2 linked regions of the Macaca mulatta genome follow. The protein of the gene in region 1 purifies or fractionates together with the protein of each later gene. This does not show direct contact. Links are inferred from orthologs where the notes say so. Each region holds a gene or a part of one and is shown on either strand. Other genes may lie near its edges.

Region 1 (3,826 bases):
TAAGAGCTAGGTACTTTAACCTTTATTCCATAGATGAGGGATCTGAGGCTTAGAGAAGTTAAAGTCACACAGCAAAGATGTTGTTAAATTGGGATTTGAGCCCTGCCTATGGGACTCCAGGAACTCTAATTATAACGACTGTTTTTGCCTTCCTGGAATTTCATACCATTAAAAAAAAATCAAAATTGGTCATAAAAGTTATATCAAATATGTATAAAACATTTAAGTTTCAAAAATCAATTACTTAAAATAAGCTGCGTTGTAACTCTGCCTTTGGGGGATTTTTCCGCATGGGCTGAACTGACTGAGCCATCTAAAAATAGGAGGCCAGTGAAGTCTCTACTGTTTCCCTGGTGAATTTCCCTCAAGTTTTCATTGCTCTAAGGACTTTGAACTGCATTAATAATCAGGATGGCCATTCTTGAAAATGTCCCTTAACACGTCTGGTATATATGAATGCCTCTAGAACTCTGAGTGCTATATACCAGGGGAAGTTTCCATGGGGCCTTGGGAATCAGAGGAGCACACCGCTGCTAAGTGGTTATAAAGAGCAGTGCTGAGGGAGTTGTGTTGTCTTAATAAAGTTTGTGGTTATTATGTTTGTGGTTGGTTGCCTATGTTTTGAATTCTCGTAGCATCTCTACAAGGTATGATTTATTATCATCATTGTATAAAGGGAGAGACCAAGTATCTGGGAGGTTAATTTACTTATTTGTAGTCATGTAGCTAATTAGTGTCAGAGCCAATATGTTCTAGCTCCAAAACCCGTCTTCTTTCTGTTTTATTGTGATGGAGGCAGTGAGATATTGGGTTTGAGTCTCGGGTATAGTCCTGGCTGGAACAATAGATTCAGAAGGCATTGGCATAGAAGGCAGCTGAAACCATTGTAGTGGTTGAGATTGCCCAGGGAGACTGGTAGGTTGAGTGCTGACAAAAGCTGAGGATAGATTTTTGGGTTCCAGAGGACAGGGTCCATGTCTTACACTTTTTTTACAGAGTAAACTTTCAGTGAACATTGGTTATTTGTGATCTTAAGGGTCATTATTGTTAAACTTAAGTGTTCTTAAGTGTCATTTTTTCTAAACTCTCGCTTTGATATTGCTCCATTGATTCAGCTCCATATATTGTATTGCAAGTGCCCATCTCCTGACCCGGAGGTGTTATATTTGTCATTCCAGATTACCTAAAACCAGATCCATGGATGATCTTCTTTCTGCCTGTGACACAAGCAGCCCCCTGACTCGTACATCCAGTGACCCTAACCTGAATAACCACTGTCAGGAGGTCAGGGTAGGCCTGGAGCCCTGGCACAGCAATCCTGAGGGATCAGAGACAACCTTTGTGGACTCTGGGGTAGGAGGTCCTCAGCAGACTGTGGGAGAAGTGGGTCTTCCTCCTCCTCTGCCCAGCAGCCAGAAAGACTACTTGAGCAATAAACCTTTCAAGAGTCACAAAAACTGTTCTCCAAGTTACAAATTGCTTAATACCGCAGTGCCTCGGGAAATGAAGAGCAACACCTCTGATCCTGAGATCAAAGTCCTGGAAGAGACTAAGGGACCAGCTCCCAACCCTTCTGCCCAGAATGAGGTGGGTAGGACTTTAGATGGCACAGGGGAGCCACCTGAACATTGTCCTGAAACAGAAGCTGTCAGTGCACTCTCCAAGGTCATTTCTAATAAGTGTGATGGAGTTTGTAATTTTCCTGAGTCTTCCCAGGACTCTTCTACAGGTGCGCCCCAACAGGCCCAGCCAGACTCCTTGCTAGGTGTGCCCTACAAATGTGTTCTCGATCACAGCCTCAGCACCCTTTGCAACCCACCAAGTGCTGCCTGCCAAACTCCTCTAGGCCCAAGGGCTGACTTCCTCAACCAAGATCCCTCAGGGTCTGTGGCAAGTATCTCCCACCAGGAGCAACCGAGTTCTGTGCCAGATCTGACTCATGGGGAGGAAGACATTGGTAAAAGAGGAAGTAATAGGAATGGGCAGTTATTGGAAAATCCTCGCTTTGGGAAAATGCCATTGGAATTGGTCCGGAAGCCAATTTCTCAGAGCCAGATTAGTGAGTTCTCTTTTCTAGGGTCCAACTGGGACAGCTTCCAAGGGATGGTGACTTCATTCCCAAGTGGGGAGGCCACCCCTCGGCGGCTGCTTTCCTATGGCTGTTGTAGCAAGAGGCCAAACAGTAAGCAGATGCGGGCCACGGGGCCCTGCTTTGGGGGCCAGTGGGCTCAGAGAGAAGGTATGAAGTCACCTGTCTGTTCTAGTCATTCCAATGGACATTGTACTGGCCCAGGAGGAAAGAACCGGATGTGGTTGTCCAGTCACCCAAAGCAAGTCTCTAGCACAAAGCCTGTTCCACTGACCTGTCCTTCTCCAGTGCCTCCTCTCTATTTGGATGATGATGGACTCCCCTTTCCCACGGATGTGATCCAGCATAGGTTACGGCAAATCGAAGCAGGGTACAAGCAAGAGGTAGAGCAGCTACGTCGACAGGTGCGTGAGCTTCAGATGAGGCTGGATATCCGTCACTGCTGTGCCCCTCCAGCAGAGCCTCCCATGGACTATGAGGATGATTTTGTAAGTAGTCACCAACTGCCATACACCCATTATTTAGTCTGTTCATCCAGCCTTCCCTCCATTCAGCATTTATTCGTTGGGTACTTGCTGTGTGCCACTGAGTTAGGTGCCTGGACTATAGGATGAAAAACAAGTAAGCAATTAGAATGATGTTTTTAAGTGCTATGATTGAGGAGGCATCGGGTGTTAGAGGGCTGGAATGGAGTGAAACATCAAGGAAGGCTTTCTTGAGAAGGTAATGCTTGAGCTGAGTGCTGAAGAATGTGTGATATTTAGCTAGGTAGACAGTGAAAAGGAAACACCATTTGCAGAAGCATCGTGGCAATAGGTACTCCAATGATATGGCTTAAAAGGATGGGACATGCGAGTGTATATGTGTACATGCATGCATACACACTTACACTGGGGCTGTAAGAGACAGATAGGGTGGTGGGAGCTGACATTGGAGAAGTAGGTGGAGATTAGAAGGGTCAGCTTGAGTGCCCTTCTTGTTTGGATTTTACCCTTAAGGCAATAAAATTTTAGGCCAGTGTATAATATGATCAGAGTTGTACTTTAAGAAAATGACTCTTACACTCTTGCAACAGTGTACAATTTTTTTTTTTTTTTTTTTTTTTTTGAGATGGAGTCTCGCTCTGTCACCCAGGCTGGAGTGCAGTGGCGCGATCTCAGCTCACTGCAACCTCCGCCTTCCCGGGTTCACACCATTCTCCTGCCTCAGCCTCCTAAGTAGCTGGGACTACAGGTGCCTGCCACCACGGCCGGCTAATTTTTTTTTTTTTTTTTTTTTGTATTTTTAGTAGAGACAGGGTTTCACCGTGTTAGCCAGGATGGTCTCAATCTCCTTACCTCGTGATCCACCCACCTCAGCCTCCCAAAGTGCTGGGATTACAGGTGTGAGCCACTGTGCGTGGCCCAACAGTGTACAATTTTAATGAGTCAGTTGAGACCCAGATTGGGAGGCTGGTAAGGTCATTTTGGAATAATCCAGGTGAGAGATGAAGACTATGTAGGCTGTGCAGTGTTGGGCAGCCTCAGGTTCTGGCACCATAGTGCTTGGGGAGCTTCTAGGAGCCAGCTTCCTCCCCATGGTATCTTGCCATTTTCAGACACTTTCCTTTCTTCTGTTAAGGTGCTCCCCACTTGCCTGCTTCTCACTTCTCTGGTGCTTTAAACAGTAATCAACAAACCTTTTTTTTTTTTGTAAAGGGCCAAATAATAACTATTTTAGGTTTTGTGGGCCATACAG
Region 2 (3,826 bases), on another chromosome or scaffold:
TTAAGTTTCCATATAAAAGATAGTAGACCTTCTGTCATCCAAGTATTATTTAAATGAAAGCATCCTTCAGAGACAAATTTTATGAAACACAGTAACAAGGAAGAAACATTTCCAATCCAATTTTGGATTGTTTTCTTTCTTTTTTTTTTTTTTTTTTGAGACAGGTTCTCACTCTCTTGGCCAGACTGGAGTACAGTGAGGCCATCTCGGCTTACTGCAACTTCTGCCTCCCAGGTTTAAGCGATTCCCCTGCTTCACCCTCCCAGGTAGCTGGGATTACAGTCGTGCGTCACTACTGCCCAGCTAGTTTTTGTGTTTTTAGTAGAAACGGGGATCTCACCATGTTGGCCAGGCTGGTCTCGATCTCCTGACCTCAAATGATCCACCCTCCTCGGCCTCCCAAAGTACTGGAATCAGTTTTGGGGTGTTTTCTGATATTGGCTTTTATGTAATTATTTGATGGATTGGGGCACATCCTTTTTTAATAAGTTGATTTTGCCTTAAATAGAAAAATAACCTATAAATGTATTGATTTATAATTGTTATAGGAGTAATAAATATGAAATTAAGAGTTTCAACAGGCTTATTAGTTTCACTCAGCTGCATTTTTTAGGAAAAATAACTTACATGGTCTGATAACATCTGTCAGCCTTTTGAAGAGTCAATTATTATTTCATTACTTTTCTTACTTTTTTTTTTTATTGAAGATTATAGTTTCTCAAAAAATACTTCATTTCAACCCATGGTAACTCATGTCATGTTGTATTACCCCTCCTCATGTTGGTATGTGGTCTCCCAGAAGTCACTAGATTAATTAAACTTACATATATTTTTTGAAGGAAACTTGGATTGTGTATCTGAAATAATTGTATTATATCTAATATTTTTTAACAGAATAACCCAAATGCACATGGTGATTTTTTAAAAATAAATAGAGCATATGAAGTACTCAAAGATGAAGATCTACGGAAAAAGTATGACAAATATGGAGAAAAGGGACTTGAGGATAATCAAGGTGGCCAGTATGAAAGCTGGAACTATTATCGTTATGATTTTGGTAAGGTGATACAATATTACTTATGAAATGTTTTTTATCTGAGTAAAAGAAAAGTGAATTCTGTTTCACCACTTAAGTTATATATTTAATCTGTGTCACTTTGATTAGCTCCTTTTAATTTGCTGTGGGAGTGAAATTTAAAAGGAAAGTCAGTGGGTATACAGAGATGATCTGTACAGATACGAAGTTGTATTGGTCAAATCTTGTTAAATACTTTTAAAATAAGGATTGTTATTTAATAAAAAATATGCATTCATGGACTGCATAATGACATTTCACTTAGCAATGGACTGTATGTAGGAAATTGGTCCCATGAAATTATAATACCATATTTTTACTGTAGCTTTTCTATGTTTAAATACAAAGATACTTACCATTGTGTTACAGTTGCCTACAGTATTCAGCAGTAACATGCTGTACAGGTTTGTAGCCTAGGTGTGTAGTAAGATATGCTATCTAGGTTTGTGTAAGTACACTGTGTGATGTTTTTGCAACAACAAAATTCCCTAACCACATATTTCTCAGAATATGTCCCTGTTAGTAAGTGATGTATGACTATATATTTGCATTAGGGGTAGTTAAATATTTCTTTCAGTATTTTTTAGTATTAAATAATATTTCTTTCAATATATTTTAGAGCATCATATTTTCCAAGAAAGGCTAAACTTTAAGTTTAATAATGATCTCTTCAATAGAAATGCCATCCTTCTCATATGGAACCCTTATTGATGTTTTAAGGTGCTTTGGCCTTCGGTTGACATTAAGGTCAATACCTTGAAACATTATCAATAAAGGTTGCATATGAGAAGGACGAAAGGTGTTCTTTTTCTTAAACATGAAGGAAAAAATAAGGTGGAAGGAGGAAACAAAGTAAAGGAACCAAGGAAGAAAGAATGTAAACACACAGCATTTTAAATTTATATCTGGAGGATTTGCTTTTAGTAAATATAAATTTTCTTTTCAAAATAGTATTTTCAAGTATATTCTCTACACCTTGATAGTCTATATCAAGAGTTAGCAGACTGCGTTTCATAGGCCAAATCTGGCTTGCCATTTGCTTTTATAAATAAAGTTTTATTGGAATGCAATTACATTCATTTGTTTACATAATATATATGACTTCTTTCACACTTTGAGAGCAGAGTTGAGAAGTTGTGACAGAAGCCATACATCCCACAAAGCCTAAAAAAGTTATATTTACTAAATATTTGTGTCTGCCTCTGCAAATATTCCAAACTTTTTAGCAGAAGATATTCTAACATGATACCATGTGTTAAAAACCATATAATCTGAAACTTGAATGAGGTCTGTAGTCTAGTTAACAGTATACCACTCTCAATTTCCTGGTTTTTGATATTATACTGTAGCTAATTAACATGTCACCATTAAAGGAAGGTGAGTAAAAAGTACACAAGAGTCTATATTTTTGCACCTCCCTGAATCTAATTATTTTTAAAACCATAATATAAATTTTCTATGGAGATGAAATTATGTGAATATTAGGAACTACCACACACACACCTATGAGAGTCTGTATCAAAATTCTAGTATCTTTAGATCACCCTAAATATATTGATAGTATTATTTACTTTTTTTCCACTTAAGTTGTTGCATATTCTCTAAGTTTGAGATTTAATATAGTAGTTTGATTTTTTTTGATGATTAAAATGAGTAATCTATTTTTATGTGGCAATTTATATAGTGAAGTTTTGATTTTATAATTTTTATATACTTTTAAAATTAGGTATTTATGATGATGATCCTGAAATCATAACATTGGAAAGAAGAGAATTTGGTAAGTTTGTGGGCTTAAGGTTTTATGAAACTTAATACAAGTTCGATCTCATCTGAAACTCTTGGGGATATATATGTTTGAAATTTAGAAATCTTTTGGATTTTCGAACAGTAATAATGTAATATACTGTATATTAAATATTTCTAGCAGAATGTGGGGAAGTGTACCATAATAAAAACATTAATATTTCTGTAGCAAAATGTGTAAGTATATACTAAATAAAAGAAATTTAAAAATCAGTTCAGATCAGGTTTGGATGCCAAATGAGCTTGCTACAAACTTACAGCAAAATTTCTTAGAGCTTTTTGATTTTAGAGTTTTTGATAAAGGTATAGTTATTTTGGAAGTAGATTTAATTTGATTGGCAACTTGTGTGAAATGCCCATAAAAATACAGTTCTGCATTTTCCATTGCATTTAAGAAAATTGTATACCAGAATAGATTCTTATACTTTCATCCCTTTGTACGGTAATAATAGGTTTATTTTTTATACTTCAAAGCAATAAATTATACTTCAAATTTCAATTTTATATTAACTCTATCACAATTGCATTTAATTTGGAAAACTAAAATACGAACGGGCGCAGTGGCTTACACCTGTAATCCCAGCACTTTGGGAGGCCAAGGCGGGCGGATCACTTGCGATCAGGAGTTAGAAACCAGCCTGCCCAACATGGGGAAAACCCATCTCTACTAAAAATACAAAAATTAGCTGGGCGTGGTGGCACCCACCTATAATCCCAGCTACTCGGGAGGCTGAGGCACAAGAATCGCGTGAATCTGGGAGTCGGAGGTTGCCGTGAGCATGATGGCACCACAAAAAAAAAGAAAACTAAAGTAGCCTACCAGTCACAAAAAATACATATAAATCTATATAATGTTTTTCATATATTATTATCGTTAAAAATTTATTACAGCTACTTGATTATATACAGTTTGTTCCTTCTGAGCAAGGGTGGCTTTTTTTGTTATTT

The links.
Region 2: the proteins of MTMR4 (region 1) and DNAJC10 purify together in Homo sapiens (affinity purification with mass spectrometry; 3 studies listed by BioGRID and IntAct, counting the BioPlex papers as one, with this or other methods). This does not show direct contact. The link is inferred for Macaca mulatta from reciprocal best matches to the Homo sapiens genes MTMR4 and DNAJC10.

The regions. Positions count from the first base shown.
Region 1 is NC_133421.1:51,494,642-51,498,467, forward strand, and holds part of MTMR4 (phosphatidylinositol-3,5-bisphosphate 3-phosphatase MTMR4), read left to right. Parts: intron 1-1,178; coding exon 1,179-2,577; intron 2,578-3,826. UniProt on the Homo sapiens protein: Lipid phosphatase that specifically dephosphorylates the D-3 position of phosphatidylinositol 3-phosphate and phosphatidylinositol 3,5-bisphosphate, generating phosphatidylinositol and phosphatidylinositol 5-phosphate.
Region 2 is NC_133417.1:87,664,146-87,667,971, forward strand, and holds part of DNAJC10 (dnaJ homolog subfamily C member 10), read left to right. Parts: intron 1-894; coding exon 895-1,057; intron 1,058-2,801; coding exon 2,802-2,852; intron 2,853-3,826. UniProt on the Homo sapiens protein: Endoplasmic reticulum disulfide reductase involved both in the correct folding of proteins and degradation of misfolded proteins.